Linked DNA regions of Sus scrofa. The protein of the gene in region 7 interacts with the protein of the main gene of each other region in a pairwise test. Links are inferred from orthologs where the notes say so. Each region holds a gene or a part of one and is shown on either strand. Other genes may lie near its edges.

Region 1 (3,987 bases), on a different chromosome or scaffold from region 7:
CAAGCTCCCAGGTGACGCCCATGCTGCTCCTCACTAGAACACAGGCTGAGTGACAAGAGCTTCCAGTAGGTCATGAAACATGCGTGCGTCTAATAACACAAAGGAAGAATGAGTAAATCCCATAGCAATCTCATTAACTATCACTCAAAACGTGAATGAGTCACAACCTGAGGCCTGTCGCTGCCCGTTTCTGCCTTAATGTTCTTTCTGATGTTTCCATTCTTTCTTGAATTTCATTTCTTCAGGGGTTGCTCATACCAAGTGCTGTTTCTTAGCCTTGCAGGGCTTTCTCCTTCTCCTTAGACGAAGTTTAACCATTTGTCAAGATTTATCTCCTCATCACTCCTCCTTCCCCGCGGCTCCAGTCCAGCTGACTGCTTCCCACAGCACTTAGCAATTACCACTACTTCCTCAGCCTTCTGTTGGAAGCCCGCTTTCTTGATTCCTGTAGAAACCCACCTCTCAGGGAAGCCCCCCAGAAAGACAACATAAGAAAGAAAGGCAAAGTCGCTCCTCTGGGTACGGAGCCCTGGAGTCACTCGGGGACCACCCCCTCCGGAGGGCAGGCCCTGGGGCTCAACCAACCGAGTCTCAGCACAGCCTCGCCAGTGAAGCGATCTCAGCCCTGCGTGCCGCGGACTGCGGAGCGGGCGCCCCCGCGTGGCCCTGGAGGCTGCGCGCCGCTGCCCACCATCGAGCCGGCGGTGGCTAGAGAGGCCGGCGGGCCCCGGGCGCCGCGGTGGTACGGCCACAGGGAGTGCGCGCTAGGCGGGCACCGCGCCGCTGGCCTCGTGGCCATTTTAGGAGGAACCGCGGCTCGCTAGCCCCGGGCGCGGCTTCAATTTCAATAACTTTATTGGTGGCTTCTCAGCGGAACAGCCATCGCACCATTGGCCTCGGGAGGAGGGAGAATTTACAGGAGGTGACTGGGCGGGGGCGGGCGCCCCTGGACTGTGAGCGCAGGGATGAGGGGGAGTTCCCGAAAGCGAGTTTCCTGAGCCGCCGGCAACCAGGGGGTTTGGGGGTTCCGGGCGCTTCTGGAGGCCGGGGAGGGGGAGGTTGTCCCCCGGGCACGGCCTCCCTGGGGCGGGGATTCCCTTGCCCGGGTCCCCAGGCACAGGGGCGGGGCCGGGGGTGCTCCTGACGCAGCCGCCGGGGTGTTCCTAGCCTTGTGTTCCGCACGGCAGGTGGCCCCCGACTCCGAGCTGCAGCCATGGGAAACACCGCCAGCGAGCGGGTGGCCGGGGAGCGCCACGGCGCCAAGGCTGCTCGCGCTGACGGCGCGGGCGGCCATGCCCCGGGCAAGGAGCATAAGATCATGGTGGGGAGCACCGACGACCCCAGCCTCTTCAGCCTGCCCGACTCCAAGGTGAGCGCTCCCACGCCCCCAGCGGGGGGCGAGGCTGCAGCAGGGTGGGTGTCGGGGCTCCTCCTCCGTTTGGGGATTTCTTTCTTATCACACTGACCTGAGTTATGGTTTTGGGAACTAAAGGCTCTCTCGGGGACTGCGATGTTGAATGATCATTCCTTTCGCCGCGCTGCCTCAAAATAGCCCGGAGGTGGAGTTCTTGTTAGGCGACTCCTCTGCTGGCCGCATTTTCGGATGAGGACAACAGACCTAACTCTTGGTTCTCCCAACAGACACGGGTACCCTTTGCTAGGGTATCGATGAATTTGTAGGTTGTGGGCCTTGGGGAGGGTGGATTACCTGAGGGCCACATTTAGGTGGCCGTTTCTCTCATCTGCCCTGAGGTGGGCAAATGAATTTCTGTTTCCTGACAGCTTCTCTGTCTGAGTATCATCTTTGCTCTTCTGAGAGCTCAGCATTTCAGATCCCTTTTCCCCTTTGGCATGGCTGTGAGTGGCAACCACGTGCTTATTTGAATAATTTCTCCTAGTGGGGGTCAACAAAGGACATCATTTGGTGGACTGCTCATTTTCATCTCATACTTTATAGTTATGGTGGCTGAGCTGCTTCTTTCTTCCAGCCGCTACTCAAGAGCCAGAGCAGGTTAATTCCAGAATTTCTCCACTTCCCAGTAGTACTTCATCATGTTACCACCGCTGAAAACGAACAATCCACAGCAGCCTTGAAGACCTTGTTCTCAATTCCAAGGACTTGTTTCAGGGAGGAGAAAACTTGTATTCACCCCACAAAAAGCAAAGTTGGAGCTGACAGCAATGTGATTACCACCTGAATGTTTCTAATCCCTTTTAGAGCTGCTGGCATTAAATACATTAATTCCTCCAGGTAGAATAAAATGAAGTAGAAAAACAGATTGAGCAGCTGGGGGGTCTGTTTGATGTTTCTTGTCACTTATCCCTTCCTACCAGTGTGGGGTTTTATTTTATTTACTTTCCTAAAGAGAGAATAATTTGCCAGGTTGATAGCGTGGGAAATATGGATTCTCCAGTTTATTTTTTCAAGTACCAACTGAGAACATAATCACAAAAAGAAGTGAAGATGTTTTCTCGGTGTTTCTCCTCCATTCCTTTCTTTTCCCACTTCGGGACTTCTTTCTCAACATTTGGGCTGTCTCTTCAGCCATCTGAACTTCTTCAAAATTCTTCAAAGCTTTCTTTCAAAGCTTTGTACCCACTTCCCTACATTGATGACTCAGGATCTAAGTAATGTATTATTTGTCAAATGGTGACTGCAGTAACTGGCATCCTGAATAAAAGCAGGTTGCTCTATTTGAAATGGAGTCTATTTGGATCATTCTTTCCCTTACCTCAGTCTTGCTATTCATGAAATAAGAAAATGGATTCAGATAATTCTTAAAGTCTCTTCAGAATCTAAGATTTTATACTCAATGTGCTCTCTTTATTTCTTCCCTAAATGTTTCACTTAAACATTTTTCAATTGTAGTTGTAATTATTTTGCCACTTTTCCTGAAGATTTTGCTGACTATTGAACTTGGAGTAAACAATCTTTCTGCTAGTCAGCTGCACTCATGCCTGCCACAGAAATGTCACGTTATCCGTGGAAGGGCTTTCTTCCAAAGCTAAGCATATTAATAGTTTGTAGCTTTCAAATTCTAAACTGAAAATACTAAATCATACAAGTAAATGATAGAAACAGTGGCAGTGGGGCCATCCTCTTCAGTGGACTAGTTACTGGTTCTCAATTAGAATAGGCTGGAATTTGTTTAAACACTTCATGGAAAATTTGAAACACTGTCCATGTTTCAAAGCAGGGAGAACAGTGTGATGAACTCCTGTATAGTTGTCATCCAGTTTAAACAATGATCAAATCATGAATGAATTTGTACCACCTATATACCCCCATCCACTCTACCCTCACCAATTATTTTGAAGCAAATTCCAGACTATCATATCAAATATTACTTTATTAGTATTTTAGGATACATTTCTAGAGATGAGGTTTCTTTATTTTTAACATAATCACAGTGTTATTGTCTGGAAAGCTTTTTAAGAATAGACTCCCAGACCCTATATTTGAATCAGAATCTGAGGCATTTGTAATTCTTAGGCATATGTAAAAATTTCTCTAATTCTAATGCAGCCTGTCAAGCAAGAACTCATTGCTTTGAGAAAATGGAGATCAAGATTTTTTAGGAGCTCCCGTCATGGTTCAGTGGTTAACGAATCTGACTAGGAACCATGAGGTTGCAGGTTCGATCCCTGGCCTTGCTCAGTGGGTTAGGATCTGGTGTTGCTGTGACCTGTGGTGTAGGTCAAAGATGCGGCTCAGATCCCACGTTGCTGTGGCTGTGGTGTAGGCCGGTGGCTACAGCTCTGATCAGACCCTTAGTCTGGGAACCTCCAAATGCTGCGGGTGGGGCCCTAGAAAAGACAAAAAAAAAAAAAAAAAAAAAAATTCTCTAAGCCATTTCCTTATATAACGTGGAAGTCCCTTCTTTTTCTCTGTTTACTTTGGATTTATGCTGCTACTGGTGTCTCGTAGTGTAGTTTTGAGGAATATGGAGAGACAGTACAGAAGGTAGACTACCTCTGCCATTTTTA
Region 2 (3,500 bases), on a different chromosome or scaffold from region 7:
ATATGGCCTATCCGTATGACAGAATAATATGCAGCCATTAAATCATACTTTTGAAAAAATTTTAAATTAATGAATTAAAGGGAAATCCAGGAAAAAGATCATGAAGAAAGCAAGATACTCAATTATATATTCATTACGACCCTGTCTTAGCATAAAATATATACATAGGTTTATGTAGAGAGATATAGCAGACTATTTAGGACTGGATGGTAATATTGTGGTTGCTTTTTATATCTTTGTAAATTTTGTATGTGCTCCACATTTAGTTTGTAATATTCGTAGAGCTTAATGTTCTTTAAGAAAAGATCTGGAACTTAGCAAATGCAGGCATCTCGTAACCCAGTGTTTGCTTTTCAGGTATTGGGGCACTGACTTTTGCTCTTCTGATGTCAGCAAGGATGGGTATTTTCCAAGAGACTCTCTACAGACAGTTCGGGAAGCACTCCAAGGAGGCTTTGTTTTATAACGTAAGTCATTTCTTGAACCCAGGGAAGATGAAAATGACTGAATTGGTGTTATCGTCATACGTTATTCCAGATATGATAGGCCGTCCTTCTGATGTAGTCACAGGATCAATTTATTAGCCAGTAAAATGGGACCCACGGACTTTGGCACTTTTAATAGGCTGCCCCCCTTCTCTACTACACGGGGTGAGCATCATCAGTCAGTGTGAACAGAACGTGTCTGCCAACTAGGAGAGAGCCCCAAGGGCCAAGAAACCCAGTGCTCTTCGGAGGAAAGCAGGTTAAAAGCAATATGGGAACCTGGAAGGGGAATAGAACTTCCAGAAACCACATGCCAAGGAGAATATGTGCAGGGAAGCATTTGGGAGAGTTGGAGAGAGAGGGGCCTGAGGAGAAGTCCCTCAGAGGGGCTTTGTTCCCTTGATGGAGTTTAATTAGCTAATTATATACACTTAGGCTTCTTGTTTGAAACTGCTGATCTGAGCCACCTCCTGTAACTTTCCTCTTTCTCCTCCCTCTTTCCTCTGGAGCTCAGGCCCAAGTCCCTCCCCTCTGTGTCACATGGATAGAGCTGCCTCCACCTTCAGTAACCGCAGGGATCCCTTCCCTTTTTGTGTGGAAGTTGCTTACAAGCAATTTGAGACATTTAATTGGAGCTAGAGTGTATGGCCGGGGAATTTAAAGAATAAAAGTATTCTGTTGGGCTCTCGTAGCACAGTACTTGGCACCTGATTAACTGCTTGGTTAATGTTTACTGTAGGGATTCCTTCTTCTCTTGGTGGTGGTGGTGGGGGGTGGTTGTCAGACGCCTTCATCTTTGCTTACTTATTGTTTCCCCTTCCTTGTCAATCTCTCTTTATTATTGTCCTCCTATCTCTTTTTCCCACTAGTTTCCTCAACTCTAAAATCTGCTTTCACATTTCATCTAGCTTTTAAATCCCTTATATTTGCTTAAGCAGTCTCCAAAATGGTAAAATGTAGCAAATCCTTTGGGCAGAATGTATTTCAATTTCCATTCCCTTTTTATTGAGGAAAGGATCCTGGCTCTATTTTGTTTGTTTGTTTTGTATGTAGTGACCATCAGATTCCATAGGGCCAGAACCCTAATTTGGGGGTTGAGAGGATGCTGTACAATGTCAAGGGGTCAGAAGGCCTGGATGCATTTAACTTAATAAGTCTGACGTGGTTTTCTTGATACTGCTTGTTAAATAGCTTGTAAAACTTTCAGTCATTGTAAAGGTACTCTAATTATTCTGTAATGCTTTTGCCTTTAAATTTACATGAAATGTTTCTTCCCTAGCATGCCCTTCCACTTCCTGGTTTCATCTTCTTGGCTTCTGATATTTATGACCATGCAGTTCTATTCAATAAATCTGGTGAGTTTGGGATTATCCAGTGGAATTACTTGACAGTTTTGGAAGCAGTGTGTCTCAGTTTTACTCTTGGCTTGACCACTTCTTTTTTCATGATCGTATCCAAATCATCCCCTGAAACCATCCCCATTCCACCTTCCAGAAATATAGTACCATTGATTGGTAATTGCTGCCGCAAAAGCTTTTACAGGCACTTCTCAGTTATTCGCAAATGAAGACAGATGGTGTCTTCAAATTTTTGATTTTGCTTTGGAATATGTGTGTGTACATTTGAATGTGGAATGTTTGATAATCCTGAAAATGCAGATAAACAGTAATAACTCTGCAGAGACTGGAGCCATGAGAATTTTGGCAATAGTGCAGGCTCTCTCAACTCCTGTTCATCCTTCTCGGCTGGGAAAGGCAGATCTGCTCCCAGATCCAGGCTGAGCTACCCCCATGCAAGGAGGAGCAAAAATGATACAGGTCTTTTTCCTAGTTACAGAGTAGATAGCAGGAATAAGCAAAATGAGTTTAAATGTCTGTGGTATAAGTTAGCTATTACTTTTTTTAAATTTTTTTATTACTCAAATGAATTTATCACATCTGTAGTTGTATAATGATCATAACAATCTGATTTCACAGGATTTCCACCCCACAGCCCAAGCACATCCCCCCACCCCCCAGCTATTACTTTTTAAAGTGGCTATTTAACAAATTATCTATTAATTGCTAGTTAAATTGAAATAAAAAAAGAATTATTGATACAGTCCGATGGTGTACTAAAAGACATAGCGTGTCATACATACAAATAAATACACAAGGAACAAATAAACATTTTTTTAAATTAAGGCTTTATGTTGCTTAGACCTAAAATGGTAAGTGTATTTTGTAGAATGACAGTAGTTTCTCAGTAAACATTTGTTTGCTATCTGGTCATGAGTTACGAAGTTGTGACTGTTCTCTGAGTTTGCAAAGTTGCCCCTTCCATTTTGCCTGCCAAAAAGTGTGTGGGGAAGGTCATGTGTAAGAAAGTTTTTAAGGCTCTGAATTACTCAGTCATTTCTGACGTGTTTTAATTGAGATATAATTGACGTATAGCTGATTTGTGACACAGTGGTTTTTCAGGTCTGCTAGAGTCCCCATAGAGCAAAGGGCTTTGAAATAAACGCATTATCAAGTTCCTTGGGATTGATCATTTAGTTACCAAAATTCGCCTTCTGAAAATCACAGGGAAGGGTATTTATATAAATTATTTTTTAGAATCTGCCTTCAACTTCTTTAGAATTGTCCCTGTTAAGTCTGTGTGTTTTTGTTGGTGTTGCTTGTCCTGGATTGTGCCTCAGGCGGACCTGTTAGCCTTTAATTTTCTAAGAGAACTAAACGTCCGTCTGAGTACTTTAAGCCCTGTTGATTGTCTTTCCCCAGCAGAGTGGGAAATACAGTGGATCTCGGAAGTTACTGAATCACAATAACATTCGTTAACTTTCTTTTCAAGTCAGTACTTGCTGCGTGTTTCCAAGACAATAGAATACCACTAATCCAGATATATAATTAGAACAAATTATCTTTTATTTATATATATGACCTTTTTTGCTGAAGAAAATTAATATTCATTTACTAACCAGATCTCAACATCACTTTGTTAGACTTCCTTCAGTTATGCTGTATAATCAACCCCCCC
Region 3 (4,166 bases), on a different chromosome or scaffold from region 7:
AGATGCTACCTGCCCAGACACAAAGACCCCCTTCGGTTGGACTGGGCTCCTCAACCACCAGGCTTCCTTGTCTCTGTTTCTATCTCCCTCTGAACCTCCTGCTGTGACTGGGCCCCACCCTGAGCACCCTCCTCTTAGGGACTGGCAGGCCCCTCCTTAATGGGGATTGGGGGAGCCATTGTTCCCTTCTAGGCCCGGGATTGAGAAGTTGCCCCAGGGATTCACATAAAGAAAGCTGTATCTGGATGAATGTTCTTTACCCTCCAACCCATCCCTCCGGCTCTGAAGTGGGGGGTCCTTTTTCTCCACCCCCAGCAGACCGCCCCCAGCAGAGCCTTGACCTCGAAACTGCCTTTCCCTGCCCTACACCCCACACTCCCCTTAGAACCCTCTCTCTGGCCTGGCTCCTGCAGGCCCCCTCCCCACCCCCGCGATGGTGTCGGGGGTCGCCTGGAGTCCAGCTGGTGGCCATGCACAGCCACCCCTTTCCTGGCCCTGCCCCTCCCCATGACCCCGATCCTCCGCCAGCCACTCAAAGGCGCCTTGTTCTCCATCCAGCCCCCAGACAAAAGTCCCTCTGTCTAAAAAACGCAGAATTGGGGGGAGGGGGCACCCCAACGGGGACCAAGTGGGGGCCTGTACAGACCCCATCCGGAAGGAAGGAATGCCGCAAGGAGGAGGGGCAGGAGAGGGAGGAGGGCAGGGAGGGGAGCCTGCAGAGTGCAATGGCCTTATCTGGGTAAGGGGCAGCCCCTGCGCCCACTCCCGTGGTGTAGACATCCAGCTCCTGGCACCCTTAGGAAGAGCCCAGGCTGGGAAAGTCTGCCTGGTGCTGAGAACCAGTTCCCAGTCTCTCTAGGCCACGACGGGCACAATGGGGAAGAGGTCATGGTCTGAGGCCCAATAGCCACCCCCCACCCCCTCACCCAATCCCCCACTACACCCCGCCCCCACCTCATGACCTTGGTCCTATCAGCTTCCGCTGACCCTCAAACTGTGTCAACGGGAACGAGTGGCCCAGAAGAGGACTTTAGATCCCCCACGATGGCCACCAATCCTTCCTCCAAGGACAACACACCATCTAAGTAAAAGAAATTAGGTTATGACACCAAGGCATGGCCTTCCCCACTGCTGCTCCCTGTGAAAGACCGGAGCCTCTCCTCCTCCAGGCCTTCTTCTGAGGGGTGGGAGATGGGAGAAAGCCCCCGCCCCAGATGGGAGAGGCAGAGTTACAGCCTTCATCCTATTCTCCTTCTGCCTCACCTAAGCTGCTGTGACCTTGGAGACACGAAGATGCTCCCTCCCACTGGTGGTGGTGGTGGTGGTGATGGGGGACTGTCTCTTTAAGAGCAGGCTCCGGGCGAGAGCGCCCCTGAGCTTCAGGAGTCTGACTAGTTCTCTACCTGCCCAGGTTTGCTTAGGGCGTGGCAGCTACGGATAAAGGCAGGAGTTGGCTTAGCAGCCCCAGCCCGCTCTCTCCTGGAACCTGGAACCTCTGTGCAGCCCCAGGAACACGCAGGTGAGGGGGTCCCCTCCCTCCACCCCCTTCTTGGCTCTGCCCGCAAACTATCCCTGCCCCTCCCTCTAGTGCTCCCTGTTAATGACTCCTAGTGCCTTCCCCCTTCGAGGTCTTTTTCTGGGGGTGTTGACCAGAGAAAGCCCCCCCTCCCCATCATTCTCTTCTTAGGGGGCTGGGTGAAGCCGCTGGGATGAGGGTACGGCCCCAGATGGGACTGGGGTGTCTGGGAGACTGGTGGGTCTGGGTAGATCGTTGTTTCTGAGTAAAGAGAAGTGTCTGGGTTGGGGATCCGAGTGGATGGGTAGGTGACTTCATGGACTTGGGTTGTCTAGGGACTGGGGACAGGAGGACCCTCTAGGAAAAGGGTCTGGTGGCTTCCTGGGGGAGCTGCATAATGGGGAGGTGGGGAGATTTCAGGGACACGAGGGAGGCATTTTGCTCACACCGGAAGGGCCTGGCCCCCATCATGGGAGAGAAGCAGTAGGGCTGGATGTGAAAACAGTGCTTACACCAGAGTTGAGGACTCAGGTAAGAGCAGGGGTGGGGGGCATAGCCTCCATCTGCAGGCTGCCTTCCTCTCCAAGCCTTCACGCCACCTGCAGTCAGTTCCGGAGCAGCCTGGGGGCCTTCCTAGACAGGGAAGGGGAGAGCAGGTGTCCAGACACCAGCTCCCAGCAGCCCGCACCAACGGACAGTCGTGTGGAAATTGGGGGGGGGGGCAGCTGAGACCATCCATCAGTGCTCCCTGTGCTGGGGATGCTGGGAAATGCCTGGGGATGGGGTGCCTGGAGCCCTCATGGGCCAGGGGGCTTGGAGACTCTCATAGAAAGAGGCTTAAGTGCTGGGACTCAGAGCTCCAGGTGGCAGCATTAAGCTGGATTCATAGCGTTTACAGGCTTGCGACGTGAGCTAATCACAGAGCCAACCCCATCAAGCTGCGAAGATTATATGTGTGAATAAGTGAGAAGAGCCGAGAACAGAGCCCAGCGTGGGGCAACACTCAATCGCCACCAGCTCTTATTACTGGTATTAGTGTTATCGCGGGGTGACAAAGCCACACGTGTTCCCTTGTGACCACAAGTGGTCCTTCTATGGACCTGCGCTGGGAACCGCTAGGCTGTCCTGCCCACACACCCACTCCAGCTCTCCCCCCCCGCCCCCAGTTCTGGGGGGGTTCCTGAACACCTTACTAGTGTTCCCCAAAGCTACGCGCCCTCTTCCTGCAGGGAATGGATGCTCAAACTAAAGTCGTGAGGCTGGAATGTGGGATGAACTGGGAAGCTAAGAGGATTCCCTGGATCTGGGGTGGGCACAGGGAGATGGAAGGGTCTGTGAGAATGTGCTGGAAACAGAGACATGCAGGGTGGGGGCTCCATAGAGGCTAGAGAGAGAGTGAAACGGGACCCTTTCTCCGGCTGCAGACAGGAGACAGAGCTGGGAAGGTCAAAGGGCTTTTCACCAGGCTTAGGGAGGATATATGTTTTGTTGTGGTGGTTGTTTTCTTGTTTGGCTGCCCTTCGGCTCATGGAGCTCCCAGGCCAGAGATCAGATCCAAGCCACAGTTTCGGCCTTGGCCGCAGCGGAGGCAACGCGGGATCTTAAACCCACTGCACCCACGACCCACTGGATCGTCCCAGTGCTGCAGAGACGCCACCAGTCCCCGTAGCACCACAGCGGGAACTCCAGGGAGGGTATATGTTTTGTCCTCTGTGAAATGGGCCCTATAACCGATGACCTCTGGGATTCTTGGAGGATTACATGAACGAAAACTGGCAAGACCATCTGGCAGTGCCCAGCACAGGGTGGATCTAAGTGTTAGCTCTTGCTATCAAGACTGGGACAACAAACGCTGTGGCAGCGGGGCGGGGCCAGGGGACGCATAGATACCGGAGCAGGACAGGGACAGCAGAGTGTTCTTCAAGCTGGGCAGGCCGACCTGGGGAGGGAGGAAGTGTTTGCAGCCAGAGGAGTTTATAGGGGCAGGGGCTGGGTGGGGGGCAGTGATGGGTGGGGGGAGGGCAGAAGCGGGACAGTGGGGTTCAGGGGGAGAGTGGGACAGAAGGTGAAGCTGAGGCTGCTCCCAGGCCTGCCCTCCACCTCCCTCCCCTGCCCCCACCGAGTTCTCTCCTCCCCACATCCTGCCCTGAGCAGCCAGAGGAGCCAGCTCAGTGCCCAGCCCTGGCCCAGTCGAGGCCTGCAAATTCTGGGCAGGGCGGGCAGGCTCCGAGCTGTCTGGGGGAGACACTCCCGGAACCAGGCCTCCTGCCACCTGGCTCCCGGCACCCCATTTCCCAAACCATCCTGAGGCCCTGAGAGAGGTCGCAGTTGGGAACAGCCTCCACAGAGCAAGATCTGGTTTAAATTCCACTTCCCAGGAGTTCCCATCATGGCTCAGTGGTTAACGAATCTGACTAGGAACCATGAGTTTGGGGTTGATCCCTGGCCTTGCTCAGTGGGTTAAGGATCTGGTGTCGCCCTGAGCTGTGGTGTAGGTTGCAGATGCGGCTCAGATTCCGCGTTGCTGTGGCCCTGGCCATAGGCTGGCGGCTATAGCTCCGATTAGACCCCTAGCCTGGGAACCTCCATATGCCACAGGTGTGGCCCTAGAAAAGGCAAAAAGACCAAAAAAAAAAAAAAAAAAAAAAAT
Region 4 (2,560 bases), on a different chromosome or scaffold from region 7:
AAGCCCTGCCTCCTGGCCTTGCTTATTTGCTTGCAGGGGAGCTTCTACTGCTGAACCCCACCTGGGAGCCACGACAGGAAGGCGCACTCAGTGGCGGCTCTCCTGCCACCAGTCCTTTTCCCCTGGCGTTTGCCTGGCAGCCCCGTCTCTGCCCCCTGCACACGGAACTGCCCTCTTCAGTAAAGGAGATGCTGAACGGAGAGGGTCTGGGCGGGCCTGTTGCAGTCGTGGGGCCCTCGGGGCTGCTGTCCTGCAGTCTGGGCCCTCGGCGCTGTGCTTCTTGCTGCTGGGGGGCACCCTTCAGAGCCCCAGGTTGAGGGGCGTGGACCCGGGGGCACAGTGACCACCAGGAGCCAGGTCGGGGGACTAGGGGCTACTGAAGGGAAGGCAGGTGACAAGGTGGCTTCGCAGGGCCTGGTGACGTGATGCAGAGGGAGCCACCCGTCCAGCTGGGAGAGGCCGGGGTAAAGAAGCCTTCTTGCGAGATGAGCAGTGAAGACCAAACTGGGGGAACCGGCTGTGCTGGGGGGCAGCGTGGAGGGTCTGGATGGGCGGGGACGAGCCAGAGGGTGACAGGCGCTGGGTCCTGCGTCCGGCGTGGGAGGTCCCGCTTGAGGCCTCCCGCGGGCTTGGGCTCTGTCTGCTGGTGAGCGTCACGTCCCCGGCAGGCCGGGTCGCTGCATGGGCTGCTTCCGTGGGTGAGACGCCTTCAGTGGCCATAGGTAGAGTCCTGGGCCCACAGGGTCAGAGCGGCAGGAACACGAGGCCCCTGGACCCTCATCCCAGCGCCCAAGGCCGAGGCACTGAGTGGGGCGCTCCCGGCCAGGTGGCCCTTGGGGGGGCTTTGGCGTTGCCGCCCCAGGAGGACCCGGGCAGCTTGCTCTCCGTCCACCACGGCCGGACCCGTGAAGGTGGGCCGTGCGGGCTCAGTGGCCCTGGTGGGCTGAGGGCACGGCGCACCTGCCGTCACAGGCCTCTGTCCCCGCGTCGTGGGCCCGAGGCCCCCTCTCCCTGGGGCTTTGCTGACTCACGGGTCTGACCCTGCGTTGCCTTAACTGCCAGGCCGCCCCCGTCGTCGGCCGCCATCCTCACAGATGTTGTCGCAGGAGCCCCAGGGCCCCTTGCTGTGTCTCTCGTGGGCCACGGCTTGCTTCTTCGGCCCCATCTGCAGGGCGGGAAGGGGGCGGCCCGGGGAGCCGTGCGCGCCCTCCGGAGCTCGGCGGGGCCCCCCCAGCTGGCGCCCCGCTCACGGCTCCTTTCTCCCGCCCCCCCCCCGCAGGCTGAGCTTGGCGGCCACGGACTGTTACATCGTGCACGAGATCTACAGCGGGGAGAACGCGCAGGACCAGTTTGAGTGCGAGCTGGAGCAGGCCCTGGAGGCCCAGTACAAGTACATCGTGATCGAGCCCACGCGCATCGGCGACGAGACGGCCCGCTGGATCACCGTGGGCAACTGCCTGCACAAGACCACCGTGCTGGCGGGCACCGCCTGCCTCTTCACGCCGCTGGCGCTGCCCCTGGATTACTCGCACTACGTCTCCCTGCCCGCGGGCGTGCTGAGCCTGGCCTGCTGCACCCTCTACGGCATCTCCTGGCAGTTCGACCCCTGCTGCAAGTACCAGGTGGAGTACGACGCCTACAAACTGTCGCGCCTGCCCCTGCACACGCTCACCTCCTCCACGCCGGTGGTGCTGGTCCGCAAGGACGACCTGCACAGGAAGAGACTGCACAACACGATAGCGCTGGCGGCCCTGGTGTACTGTGTCAAGAAGGTGTACGAGCTCTGCGCCGTGTGAGCCGGGAGGCGGCCGGCCTCACGCTTGTCCGCTGAACGGAAGGACACATCACCGGGGCCCCGGGGCGCTCGGCTCAGCCCACGAAGACGTGGGTCCCGCGACCCCGGGGTCGGCGGTGCGGGTTTCCGACGGGGCGGCAGGATGTGGTGGGAGCAGCGCTGCGGGGGGGCGACCGCGCTCGGGGGTCCTTGAGAACATCCGGTAACTGTACCACCCAGAGCCAGCCGGAGCTGTTGACCATTAAAGTGATGAGAATTTCCCCTCCGCCCGGTGTCTCTCTCCGTGACGGCCCTGGTGGGCGTGGGCAGCACGGGTGTCAGCCCTGGCGACGGGCAGGCCCAGACCCTCCGTGCTGCTCAGGGACCTGGCGGGACAGGTGGGCGGCACGGCCGGGCGGCCGCCTGCAGAGCTGGGGCTGGGTCGTGTCCAGGGATCTGACGCGGGAGGAGCCGGGAACCACCTCCACACCTTGAAAGCACTGAGGCCGTCCCGATGGGGGCCCGGGCCCAGGGGAGCCCCACGCTCCCCGCTTACCTTCCCCCGAAGAGGCGGGGCCCTGGCCCTGCAGCCTCTCGAGACCTCTGCCAGGCGCCTCGAAGGGCAACCAGACTGACTTTCTGCTCGTTTTAAAGGCGCCTCAGGAAGGTCCCATCCCAGAGAGTAACGGAGGGGGGCCGGGGGCCACTTTCTGGGGGAAGAGCCAGGGCTTGTGAGAGTTGGAGAGACCTTGACCCGATTGCGAGGGGCCTGGAAGTGCTGATCCC
Region 5 (4,248 bases), on a different chromosome or scaffold from region 7:
CCAGGAAGGAGACCCTGGCCTCCAGTGTCTGCCACCAGACCCCTAGAGAGGCTACAGATCATGGAAAAGCTCTGGGCATCCAGGAGCCCTTTGCAAACCCGCTTCCTCTCCTAGACACACAGATGAAGCCAAGGAGAAATGAAGAAAGCACGCCTGGGAGAGACAGGCTAGCCTGGCCCTCTTCCTGCCCATCACCATACCTACACTTTCTAAACTCACCTGGCCCCTCTCTTTCATGCTCCTTCTGGCTTCCCTCTCCTCCCAGCCCCCACCAGGCTTTGTCTCCTCTCCCTGTCTCCCCTGCTCTCCTGGCAGTCCCTAGCGGAGGCTCAGAGCCTCCGGCTGGTCCCGGAGCTGCCTGACACTCTGTTATAAGCAGGAAGATCTAGGGGCAGAGCTAAGACCCCTGGGCTGGGCCAGGAGCCTCAGGCTTTCTTGGGTCAAGGCAGGTAGAAAGCAGCTGTGGAGAGATTTAAAATCTGGTCCATGCCCAGGCTCTTACATCTAGCACCTAGGAGAGGCGCCCTCTGAGAGAATCTGGAATTTCTCTCCATCTTCCTCTGGGAGGTTCCTGGGGAGATGTTTCCTCCTGGCCTTCTGAGTCTCCCCTACAGGCACCTGGGCACAGAGCTAGATAAGGCAGGAAACTGCCCTCTCTCTTTCAGCTGGAGGCCTCTTCAGAAGTACTCGTGTGTGTGTGTGTGTGTGTGTGTGTGTGTGTGTGTGTGTGTGTGTGTGTGTTGGAGGAAGCAATGGTATATGACATTGTGGGTGTCTGTGAAAGCACACACAGTGCAATGGTAGGGTGGACACTTAGCATTGTGGGTGGTGTGTTGTGGTGTGGTGTATGTATGGCGTATTAGGTGTGTATGTGGTATATATGTGGTCGATACATGTGTTGTGTAGTGTGTTTGTGTAGTGTGTGTGGCAAATAGGATTGCGGTGTGTGTGTGAGTATGTGCATGGTGTGGCAAGTGTGTACATATTTGAGGTGTGTTTGTGACGTGTGCTGTGTATGGGGGGGCAGCTGGAGTGGGTGGGGGCCACATCAGTTTGAGGTGGGAGCTAGCTCCTCAGGGTCTCCTACCCAGTGAGGTCGGGGATAACCAGTATCTAGGCAACCATGTTGGGGGGAGGGGAGGGGATATGGAGGTGAAGCATGGGCAGGAAAAGGAGGGAGGCTGAGAATTGGAGTTTCCATGGCAACTACCGGGCAGGTCACGTGAAAAAGGCCAAGTTGCGGAAACACATCCACACATATAAAAAATGAGGGCGCTGGGCCCCCAGAGTGGGAGGGGTCCTTCCACAGAGGACAGGGGCTGCCCACTGATCCATCTCCAAACCTGGAAATCTGGGGGGCGCCCTACGCCAAGGAGACAAAGGAAGTGGAGACAGAGGCCACGTTCATGGGGAGAAGCCCCAACAGCCACAGGCCCCTGAGTCCGGAGGTGGGCAGCAGGGGCCTGGCCAGGCCCATTTCTGCACCGTGGCTGCTCCCTGCTCCCACCCTGGGGAGCTTCCTCTACCAGCCACCACTTGTAAGAGCCCAGAAGCAAGTGCCTGGAGCCCCAGGCTGCCCTTCCATCTCTGCACTGACGCCCAAGAGACACAATGGGAAAGGCTCTGCCAGGGGCAGCACCGCTGGGGAAAGAGGGCTGGGCACTAGGAAAGGAGAGGAGGGGACAGGGCCCCCTGGAAGAAGCTGGGGCTGGTTAGACAAGGGGAGAAGAAAATTGATGCAAACACTCTCATCAATCCCGCGCCCTGGAATTTCAGCCCTTCTTTACCTGCCGCCCCCGCCCTCGCTTGTGCCTACTGCCCAGCCCCAGCTCCCCTTGTCCCCCCAAAGCTCCGAGCCCATTTTGCATGGCTCCTGTGTTCACACTCACAGCCAGCCACCTTCCGTCTTCACATCTGCACACTCCACTCAAGTGTCCAGAGCTTCCAAGTAACAAAGGGAAAACTCCCCCTGGATGTAGAGGGGAACAGCTCTTTCCCCTTCTCCCAAAACCAGTGCCACAAGCTCCAGGCAGCAGCAAGTGCCTTTCCAGTACAGCTTCGTCCCCACCGACACCGCCTGCCTCCCCTCCGCCCCTCTTCTCTTCCGACGCCCACCTCCTGGTCTCCATCCACCACCCGGTTTCCGCCGCCCAAGCGGCAGCGGCCCCGGGAGGACCGCTCACACCCACCGAAACAAACAAAACCTAGCAGCATGCCGGCGCCCTACGACCCGTCCCCACCCAGCCTCTCTCCCTCCTCGGAAGAACCCAACTTTGGCACCTTTGCAGCCGCTTACCTGCACAGCGCGGTCCCCTCCGGAGACAATCCCAGGAGGACGTGCCGAGTCCGGAGGAGCCTGGGAGTGGCGGGGCTGGGGGCAGGGCGATGGGCGAGGCTTTCCCTTTTTTCCGCCTCCCCTCCCAGGAAGGGCTGGACGGGCTGGAGTGGCGCGTCCTGCAGGGGTGGGGACTGGTGGGCGGGGTCTCGTCCCAGCTGGGCTCCGGCGACCGCGGTGTCACCGTCCGCTGGCCTCCGGGGAGCGTTTGCACGCGGACCCTCTCCCCGTCGCCGTGCTGCCCGTCGCCCGCCGCTCCGAGCGCGCTGCCGCGGCTCCCGGGTGCGGGAGGGATTCTTTTTCAAAGGGCGGGCGGGCTCCGGGAAGCAACAGGAGAGCGTCGGCGAGGGGGCGGGCCAGCCCCGGCGCGCACCCGCCGCCAGCTGTTGCTCCGTGCTTTTCCTCGGCTGAGGGTGGGGAGGGAGCGAGACAAACACGGTGGCAGAGCTAGTGCCTCTCCCAGATAGTAAACTGGGGGGAACAGAAAAATACGAGAAAATAACCCAGCACCAGACACAGCAACCCACGTTAATTGGGAGGCCTGGCAATTAACGGGGAAGTGCACCTAAGGCACGAATGGCTGTGTCGTGGGCGCGAGGCGGTTCTGGTTGGAGTTGTCATTTTCAGCGAGAGCCAGGAGGGGTGCTGGGGGCGGGGGCTCGCCGGAACCACAGATTCGCTGCCCAGATCCCCCTTTTCAGGGCCCCTCATCCTGTCCCTGCCGGCTCACAGTACCTCCCCCTCCCCAGTCCCCTCCGCAGCTCCAAATTCCAGGCGACAAACTGAATTAGAAGATTTAAATGCTAGCTGTGTGTCTCTACCTGTGATGTGACCTTGAGCACATCATGGAGCGAAGCTCTTAAGCCTCAGTTTCCTCCCTTGTGAAAGGGATGTGAGAACACTGACCAGCCCCCACCCCACCGGGAGGCTGAGCCCTGCGCTCAGAGGGAGTGCTGGGTAAGCAGGCATCTCTACTGAGCGAGCGGCGGGAGCGGGGCCTGTAGGAAGGGCCCTGGGCCAGGCACTGGCAGAAAGCACGGACATGGACACGGCAAGGGCTGGCCCCTCTGTTGTAGCCAGGAAGCCCTGCTGTCGGCAGTGAGGCTTCTAGCCTGAGCCGCGATGGAGACCAGTAGGATGAGGGGTGTGGGGTTCCTGAGCAAGGCTGTAACTGTCCAAGCCTGAGAGGGGCTGCAGGTACTTCCACACTGACCCCGAACCCTGGGACCGTGGGTACTGCCAGGAAGAGACTCAGCCCTGGCCTTCAGTTTTCTCCTTTGTGAATAAAGGAGATGACTAGGTAAGCCAGAGCCTGCTTCCAAGATCAAGCCCTAGGTGCTTGAATTATTGTAACACATGCCCAACGCTAGATCCTTAACCCACTGAGCCAGGCCAGGGATCGAACCCGCATCCTTACAGAGAAATCATTGTCACACAGCAAAAATCAATACAAGAATCAACCGCATCCTTACAGAGAAATCATTGTGTTCAGATTTCCCAGCGACTAGGAGCATCCATATGACCCAGTTCTGGCCAAGGAGATGGGAACAGAATATTAAATATTCTTAAATATTTTTAAATAGTAAAAAATATTTAATTTAAGAAGGCATCCCAGAATACTGAGGAAAAATACTAAGACACAGTAATACGTATCTTTTGCCCTTTGTCTTTTCTTCTTCTTCCCCTTTTTCCACTACTTCCCCTCTTCCTCCCCCTTGTCCTCCTTCTTTTTTTTTAATCAAAGCATAGTCGATTTACAATGATGTGTTAGTTGCTGGTGTACAGCAAAGTGATTCGGTTATACACATACATCTATACACACACATACTTATATATTCTTTTTTAGATCCTTTTCCATTGTAGTATATTACAGGAAATTGAATGTTATCCCCTGTTCTATACAGCAGGACATT
Region 6 (3,500 bases), on a different chromosome or scaffold from region 7:
TCTCCCTAATGAAAAGTTAACAACAACCAAATGAGCCTTCCCAGGACCAAGCAAGCAAGCTTCTCATGGACTCTTTCAGATAACTGATTTCAGAACATAAAAGAACTCGTCCAGGGTCTTCAGAGTATTTATGAACCTCCTACATCAAGCCATTTGTTCCCTGTACTTCCAGCTCAGAACCATGAGAAAATGGTTCTTTCCTATCCATTTACAGAGTAGACTTGGGTCAGGATGTCACTGGAAGTTACAAACATGGACTGCCCATTCATCAAAGTTCCAAATGAGCCATGGCCAGGGAGCAGAAGTGATCATAATTTCATTTTTGATGTTTCCCTCTCCAGATCGTTGATACCTTTTTCATTGGCCGCTATGTCCTGCTGGCTTTCCTCACTGCTGTCTTCTTGGGGAGCCTCTTCTTGGTTCTAGTCCATCACATCCTGGAGCCAGTCTATGCCAAACCACTTCGGTCCTACTGAGCAACACTCAAGAAGACCAAGACCTTTCCTCCCCTCGCTTTGATATCATCAGTGAGCAGAAAGGTACTGTTGGAACGTTGTCTTGACAGCATTCATGCTTAAGATCAGAGGAACATCTATTCATCACTCAGACAAACCCCTTGAGTCCTGGCTTCCAGAAACATGGTTGCAGAATTGTCCCTGGGATCCTAGGAGAAATATTGCTGTCTTCTTAACACCTGCACTTCAGGTTTTCCATCTCTTTTGAGAGGGAAATGGCAACAGTGTCTGCTTAGATTTCAATCAGGCCATCAGCATGTGGATTTTGGGAAAAGGAGCACTTTGGTTTCTGCTGTCCAATAGAAGAACCTGGTCCTTTTTGATAATATGTAAAATTCTTAGTTAAAAGGTCAAGATCACTTGGAAAAGAAAGGCATTCAAAGTTGAAAAGTTCATTTTAAAGGGATGACCTGGGAACACATCCAGGTGCTGGATATGGAGCTCTCTGTGCAGACCATGCCTCAGGGCTCTGCAAAGGCCATGTGTCACCTCTCACTGTTCCAGGAAAGCCATCAACAGTGGCCGAAGGACTGCTTTTCACCTCAGACTCCTGGCCGCAGCTTTCTGAATTTAGCATTTCGAGTTTACTTGGGGATTAGAAGCAGGGTGTGGAAATGTCCCTTGTCTGTCCTACTGCTCTGTCTCTCTGGATTCTTTTTTTCCTAGGATTGAGTGACCTTTGTTGCCTTATTTAGTTACCATAACAGTCCATTCTGGGTTATTGTCATCTCTTTCATCGTTGTAGCTCTTTCTCCAAAGCCAGTGAGGAATGTATATTCCCGGGATTAGGCATAACTTTATACCTAAACCCCAGACCAAGTGAAATCTGTCATTAAACAGAGGGGCTCTCGGCTGCTTCCACTTTGGAAGTCTCATTGTGGCTCCCTAGAGCTATTTGAAAAAGGAGATTCTGGCTTAAAATTAAGAACCAGAAAACAATTGGAAAAAGAATTTTGATTGAGTACATGGTATATGCCAGTAGTACACTAGTCTGGGTTTGTTTGTTTGGTTGGTTGTTGTTGTTGTTTTTTACACAGATGTAGATGACGGACTTCCATGTTAAGGGCAAAAACGTACTTTGTACAAAGTGTATTTTAGCTCGGCCTGCCTTCTGTAGCTCCTGTAACTACCAGCAGTGGTGAACTGAATACTAGATCAATTTCTACCTTCATACTCAAAACAGTCATGTCCAACCCTGGGGGAAAAAAAAGCAAACCCACAGAGTTGGGATAAGAATAAAAGGCTGGGAGGGCACAAAGTTAATTTTACTGAGTTCTGCATGGGGCACCCTGATAATCAATAGATAATATTGGCACCCTTTTGTTCATGGCCTTCCTGGAGGTAGAGCTTAAATACAAATAGATCGTCTCAGTTTCCATTCATTGGTCTTTGATCAATGCCCCTAGAGCTAGTTGTGCTCCCCAGAAGGGATCCTGTGGCAAAGAGATGTAGTGATCCCACAGGGGAAGGGAGAGTAAATCTGGGCCTCCATATAAGAAAACAGGTAGGAGTTCCTGTCATGGCTCAGTGGAAGCGAATCTGACTAGCATCCATGAGGATGCATGTTCGATCCCAGGCCTTACTCAGTGGGTTAAGGATCTGGCACTGTGGTGAGCTGTGGTATAGGTCGGCAGCTGTAGTTCCAATTCAACACCTAGCCTGGGACCTTCCATATGCTGCCCTTAAAAAAAAAAAAGAACGAACGAAAGAAAGAAAACAGGTAATTTCATTGCCTCTTAAAATTGTATCCTGACAAAACCAAATCAGCAAGGCGCCACCCCCACCACGGAGACATTCGTCTGATCCGCTAGGTGGCGCTGTGCTGCATTTTAGAAGGCCCTCGGGCCAGCCAAACAACGCTAGGTTCTTTTTTAACAAGTTCCTTCTAGCTCTCATAAAATAGAAGTAAAGCTAACGTTCTTTACTGATGCACGATATCGGACATCTAAAAATTCTCCAAAGTTTTTGTACAATGTTCAGTTACTAGGGAATGCACTGCCCGTCCTCCACGTGCATAGAGCAGGCATTACCATTCATTCCGCCTTTACTGTGTTTACTCTGGATGTGAAGCCTCGTCCTGGTGCTGTAAATCACCCCAAGAAGGAGGCTCTGAGGCTCCTAGGCTGTTTCCCTCACTCCATCCTGGGATGAAAATGTTTTTAATTCTAACATAATCCATTTCTTGTTCTGTTCTCTAAGACATAAACTTTTCTATCAACTGTGTCTCTTGCTGCTGCTGCAGTTGAAACAGTTTTATTTTGCTCTGATTTTTATTTGTGTGTAAAGAAACCTGCTGCAGTTATTTCGTAGATGAGAAACAGGCAGAGAGATAAAGAGATTTTAAAAGTTTCACAGCTAGTTAGGTAGTGGGGCTCAAATTTGACAATGGGATCTTGTCACCTCATTTCTCAGGTAGTTTAAAGAGCAGTTTTGGCTTTCAAACAACTCCTTAGTTTTACATTGGGTAATACTATTTCTTAGCTATTTGCACCCACCATTCCCCTGACCCATATCCAAAAAAAGACAAAAGTTTCATGAAAGAATTCCTCATTAACATTTATAGTACAGATAACATTTTATCATAACTTCTTGGCTTAAACCTTTAAGTATTTGGCTTTATTACATAGGAGCAAGGTTCCAGAGCGGGGAATGGGAATTGCATAGAAGAGAATCTGAGGAAATGCTGATTATCTTCTCAGGAGCATAAAAGCTCAGGGTTGGAGGGCATTTTATAGTCCATGGAGTTCAATCTTTAGTCTCTATTTCCATCCCAATACTTCAGAATATCCTATTCTTTACATGCTGAAATCACAATTTTTTTTTTTTTTTTTTTTTTTTTGTCTTTTTGTTGTTGTTGTTGTTGCTATTTCTTGGGCCGCTCCCGCGGCATATGGAGGTTCCCAGGCTAGGGGTCGAATCGGAGCTGTAGCCACCAGCCTACGCCAGAGCCACAGCAACGCGGGATCCGAGCCGCGTCTGCAACCT
Region 7 (4,243 bases):
GGTCAGTCGCTGCAGTGGCTCATGATTCAGTCCGCGTAGAGGCGGGTGGCAAGTGCCCATCTCCAGGTCACAGGGTGCCCTCCCCACAAACGGCCCCAATTTATGGGCAGAATCCGGACACATAGAGGAGCAAGGCTTGGGGTTGGCATCCTCTCATTCTGCCTCCTCATTTTGTAGCTGGGGAGACTGAGACCCCCAGAGGGCCTATGATTTGTTCAATGTTATTATAGAATTAGGACTACAATGCATAGCCCACAATTCCCAGCATTGGCGGGAGGTGGGGAAGGTAGGTTTAGGGAATAACAGGAATGATCCCACCCTAGACCCACGTACTGTGGTGCTGTGGGGCATCTGCTAAGCATCATCAGTATTTCACGACCATAGTAGCAATTGAGTGGTGGTGGCTGCCTGAAGCACTGTGTTAAGAAGGACTCTGAGGCACTGTTCAGGATCAACAGAATGGACTGCCAGGATCCACTGGTAATTCTATCATGGGCAATGGTGGGGTAGCAGTGATGTGGGCTCAGGTATTTACCATGCCACCAGGGATTGTCAGGTACAGTGGTTAAGAGCATGGAGCTTCAGGAGTTCCCTGGTGGCTCAACAGGTTAAGGATCCAACGTTGTCACTGCTGTGGCTGGGGTTCCATCCCTGGCCCCGGAATTTCTGCATGCTGGGGGCATGCCTCGCCCCCCAGAAAAGAGCATGGAGCTTCAGAGTCAGTCATGTCTACCGCTTGCTAACTGTGTGACCTCAGGCATGTGTCTTAAGCATGCTGAGCTTTCGTTTCTTTACCCGGAAGGTGGGAGTTACAAGTTCCACACTTCCTGAGCATGGTTGTTATGAAGACTAAATGACACAGCACATGTAGGCTCTGAGCACAGTGCCTGGTACACAGCAGGCGCTTCCTAAATGAGCACACTCCCTCCCTTTTGGATGCGCTCCCAAGGGGAGAGAAAAGATACAAGGGCAGAACTGCAAAGGCCAAGCAAAAAGTAGTATGGAGTTCCAGAGGCAGAGGCTACTTCAGATAGACCCACAAAGGAACTTCCGGAGGGTCCCTCCTCATCTACCAGGAGGGAGTTATCTAGCGGGACAGGAGGAGGAAGAGGAAACAGATGGGAGGTCAGAGAGAGATGCTGAGGAGGAGCGAGTTTCAAGAAGGAGGGATACCGAGCTGCGCCTGCTGGGCCTTGAGGGGAGGAAGCGGTGTGGGCAGGGTTAGAGGAAGAGGAAGCGGAGGTGGGGAGTGAACACCACTCCCTGGACCAGTGCAGCCTGAGCAGGAGACAAGAGGACAGTTGCTAAGGGAGGCAGGCGGCAGGGAGGTAAGGGCTGGAGCGCCACGTGTCCATTTTTCCAAGGCCGGAGAGGCCTGTGTGTGTTGGGAAGTAGAGAGAACCTTGGAGAAGAAGGAATGGAAATTGGGGGTTGGGGGAAGCACTGATGGACAAAATCAGAGTCAGAGGAGCCCCTCGGGGTGACCCTGGTGAATGCAGGGGGGTTCAAACCCAATGTCCAAACCCAATGGCAAAGAGGGGGACACGTCTGTGGGAAGAAATGACGTTTGGAGCAGGCTGGCTTGCAGAGCAGGGACACTGCATGGTTCCAGGGCCTGTCACTGACTGTGAGGCCGGGGTCCTGAGAATGACAGGAGCCAGGCAGGCCTGGGTTTGCATCTCGCCTCCAGAGTGGGACAACGTCCCTGACAACCTGGAGCCTCGGTTGCCTATTCTTGACATGGAGGTAAATTTATTATCTGCTTCTAAGGGTTTCTATGAGATGTTAATGATTCGGTCTAGACTAAAGGATGCCTGCACTGCGTGGTAGGTAACGGATATCCAACAAATGTGTGTTCTTGCTTTTCATTTCTCTGAAGGGCAAACGAGGGCCTAGAATGGGGAAAAGGCTTCTTTTGGTTTGGTTTGGTTTTTGTCTATTTAGGGCGCCACCCATGGCATATGGACGTTCCCAGGCTAGAGGTTGAACCGGAGCTACAGCTGCCAGCGTACACCACAGCCACAGCAACGTGGGATTTGAGCTGCGGTCGCAGACACTCATGGCAATGCTGGATCATTAACCCACTGAGCGAGGCCAGGGATCAAACCCTCATCCACATGGATACTAGTCATGTTAGTTACTGCTGAGCCACAATAGGGAATCTATAGAATGAGGAAAAGATTGATTCACGGTCTCACAGAAAATGAGTGGGTACAATAGGATCAGAACCAGCTCTCAGATCCCCAGCACAGTGCTTGCCCTCTGCTCAGGAAGAGCTGCCTTTCTCTGAGTACAGTTTCAATTGCGCTGCCTCTATTATCTCATTTAAACCTCACATGACATGAGGTTGGCCCTCGTGTTCCTGTTTTACAGATGAGCAAACTGAGGCTCAGAAGGGTGAAAGCAAAGGCGTGAGTTGCCTGCAGTCAGGCAGTTCAACAGTGTAAGAGCTTGGGTTCAGATCCAGGCCTGCAAGATTCTGGGGCCTGTGTCCTTAACTACTAGGCCCAGAATGGGGTCCGGATGGGGAGGGAGCCTCCTGGCACCGTGGCTCATTCTGAGCTCCTTCTTCAGTGCCCTCCCGAAGCCTCCTGTTCTACGACGAGGGGGCAGGCTCGTGGGAGGATGGTCGCAGCGCCCTGCTGCCTGTGGAGCCCCCCGACGGCTGGGAGATCAAGCCCGGGGGGCCGGCGGAGCAGCGCCCCCAGGACCACCTGCAGCATGACCACCTGGACAGCACCCACGAGACCAGCAAGTACCTGAGTGAGGCCTGGCCAAAGGATGTCGCCGGAAACAGCACCAGTCCTGACTTCTCCCACCCGAAGGAGTGGTTCCACGAGAGGTGGGTGGGTGGGCTCTTCCCTTCCTGGGGTCCCAGGCTCCACCTGCACCCCCCCCCGGTCCCCACGTCATTGGCCACATCCTTCCTAGCCACCATCCCTCCCACGTCCAGATCCACCCTGCAGAGGGGCTAGACAGTCACCCCTAACTTCTCTCCTCTCCCTTCTCCCTCCAGGGATCTGGAGCCCAACACCACCATCCAACTCTCCTAGGCTGTGCCAAGACCCAGGACACAGGACGGCCCCCCGGCACCCGGAAGGGGGTTGTCCTGCTCACTCACCCGGATCCGGCTCGCACCCCTGCCCCCTGGGGTCCCGTCCCAGGAGGAAGGGTTCCACTCCTCCCCAGCCCATCTTTGCCCCGGATCTCACCTGGGGCCTCTCCTCTCTCCCCGCCCACATTTGGACTATTCCCTTGGGCCAACCACTCTGCTCTCACCCTTCGCTCCCACAGCCATCCGTCCTCAGATAAACCACTCTCTGGGTTCCCCCCTCCCTTCTCATAATGACCAACAGGACCACTGCTCCCCTGCCCCCCCCACCCCACCCCCACAGACACGTCAACAGACCCACACACACCCCCTCCCCCCCACTGTACAGACCAAGAACAGAAATTGTTTGTAAATAATGAACCTTATTTTTTATTATTGCCAGTCCCTAAGATATTGTATTTTACAAATCTCCCTCCTCCCTTCCCCCTCCCCTTGTTTGATATTTTATGAAGTTAGTGCGGGCTTTGCTGCTCCCTGGCCGGGGAAAGAGGGTCACCCCCCCCTCACCTGGCCTCCCCCTGCCGCTGCCCAAGCTGCTGGGCCTTTTTAATTGCCAAACCGCTTCACCCTTCCGCTCAGCACATGCTTTAAGAAGGCAAAAGTAAAAAAAAAAAAAAAGATGCAGCATCAATTCCTGACTTTGTGCCTTTCTTCATGGTTGGGCAGTGGGTGTGGGACTGAGGGATAAAGGAAAGTTCATTTTATGGTCTGAGGGGGGCGACTGGGGCAAGGAGGTTGAGAAAGCACTTGTATTGGGCGCCCTCTTCCAGGCAGGTGCAGAATTCAAACCAGGTGGTCAAAGAATTCTGTTGCAACCCCCCTCTAAGGCTCCCAAGTACCCACTGTTGCTGGCTATAGACGCAGAAAGGCATGTAAGCCACCGGGAGGCCTTTAACGGTAGGAACTAGGCTTAGTGCGGGCCAGGCGCTGCGCCAGGCACTTGACATGCAGTACCCTGGGTGGTCCTTCTAAGACCTGCCAGTTTCTTAGTTCTGTGTCCTTTGCCTTAGCTGAATTAAAGGCACAGACTTCAGGAGTTCCTGCTGTGGCACAGCAGTAATGCACCCCACTAGTATCCATGAGGATGAAGGTTCAATCCCTGGCCTCATTCAGTGGGTTAAGGATCTGGCA

The links.
Region 1: the proteins of CREB3L1 (region 7) and PRKAB2 interact in binary tests that used the Homo sapiens proteins (3 or more experiments, as listed by UniProt). The link is inferred for Sus scrofa from reciprocal best matches to the Homo sapiens genes CREB3L1 and PRKAB2.
Region 2: the proteins of CREB3L1 (region 7) and SLC35B4 interact in binary tests that used the Homo sapiens proteins (3 or more experiments, as listed by UniProt). The two-hybrid records come from large-scale screens. The link is inferred for Sus scrofa from reciprocal best matches to the Homo sapiens genes CREB3L1 and SLC35B4.
Region 3: the proteins of CREB3L1 (region 7) and FXYD3 interact in binary tests that used the Homo sapiens proteins (3 or more experiments, as listed by UniProt). The two-hybrid records come from large-scale screens. The link is inferred for Sus scrofa from reciprocal best matches to the Homo sapiens genes CREB3L1 and FXYD3.
Region 4: the proteins of CREB3L1 (region 7) and TMEM11 interact in binary tests that used the Homo sapiens proteins (3 or more experiments, as listed by UniProt). The two-hybrid records come from large-scale screens. The link is inferred for Sus scrofa from reciprocal best matches to the Homo sapiens genes CREB3L1 and TMEM11.
Region 5: the proteins of CREB3L1 (region 7) and FXYD6 interact in binary tests that used the Homo sapiens proteins (3 or more experiments, as listed by UniProt). The two-hybrid records come from large-scale screens. The link is inferred for Sus scrofa from reciprocal best matches to the Homo sapiens genes CREB3L1 and FXYD6.
Region 6: the proteins of CREB3L1 (region 7) and TMEM218 interact in binary tests that used the Homo sapiens proteins (3 or more experiments, as listed by UniProt). The link is inferred for Sus scrofa from reciprocal best matches to the Homo sapiens genes CREB3L1 and TMEM218.

What each region holds. Positions count from the first base shown.
Region 1 is NC_010446.5:100,377,357-100,381,343, forward strand, and holds the start of PRKAB2 (5'-AMP-activated protein kinase subunit beta-2), read left to right. Parts: upstream 1-1,187; 5' UTR 1,188-1,213; coding exon 1,214-1,369; intron 1,370-3,987. UniProt on the Homo sapiens protein: Non-catalytic subunit of AMP-activated protein kinase (AMPK), an energy sensor protein kinase that plays a key role in regulating cellular energy metabolism.
Region 2 is NC_010460.4:14,904,322-14,907,821, forward strand, and holds part of SLC35B4 (UDP-xylose and UDP-N-acetylglucosamine transporter), read left to right. Parts: intron 1-357; coding exon 358-467; intron 468-1,764; coding exon 1,765-1,840; intron 1,841-3,500. UniProt on the Homo sapiens protein: Antiporter that transports nucleotide sugars across the endoplasmic reticulum (ER) membrane in exchange for another nucleotide sugar.
Region 3 is NC_010448.4:44,646,405-44,650,570, forward strand, and holds the start of FXYD3 (FXYD domain-containing ion transport regulator 3), read left to right. Parts: upstream 1-1,366; 5' UTR 1,367-1,519; intron 1,520-4,166. UniProt on the Homo sapiens protein: Associates with and regulates the activity of the sodium/potassium-transporting ATPase (NKA) which transports Na(+) out of the cell and K(+) into the cell.
Region 4 is NC_010454.4:61,350,302-61,352,861, reverse strand, and holds the end of TMEM11 (transmembrane protein 11, mitochondrial), read left to right. Parts: intron 1-1,279; coding exon 1,280-1,796; 3' UTR 1,797-2,060; downstream 2,061-2,560. UniProt on the Homo sapiens protein: Plays a role in mitochondrial morphogenesis.
Region 5 is NC_010451.4:45,215,450-45,219,697, forward strand, and holds the start of FXYD6 (FXYD domain-containing ion transport regulator 6), read right to left. Parts: upstream 2,801-4,248; 5' UTR 2,297-2,800; intron 2,064-2,296; exon of another isoform or gene 1,890-2,063; intron 1-1,889. UniProt on the Homo sapiens protein: Associates with and regulates the activity of the sodium/potassium-transporting ATPase (NKA) which catalyzes the hydrolysis of ATP coupled with the exchange of Na(+) and K(+) ions across the plasma membrane.
Region 6 is NC_010451.4:52,275,267-52,278,766, reverse strand, and holds part of TMEM218 (transmembrane protein 218), read left to right. Parts: intron 1-341; coding exon 342-476; 3' UTR 477-3,500. UniProt on the Homo sapiens protein: May be involved in ciliary biogenesis or function.
Region 7 is NC_010444.4:16,185,706-16,189,948, reverse strand, and holds the end of CREB3L1 (cyclic AMP-responsive element-binding protein 3-like protein 1), read left to right. Parts: intron 1-2,574; coding exon 2,575-2,842; intron 2,843-3,016; coding exon 3,017-3,053; 3' UTR 3,054-3,743; downstream 3,744-4,243.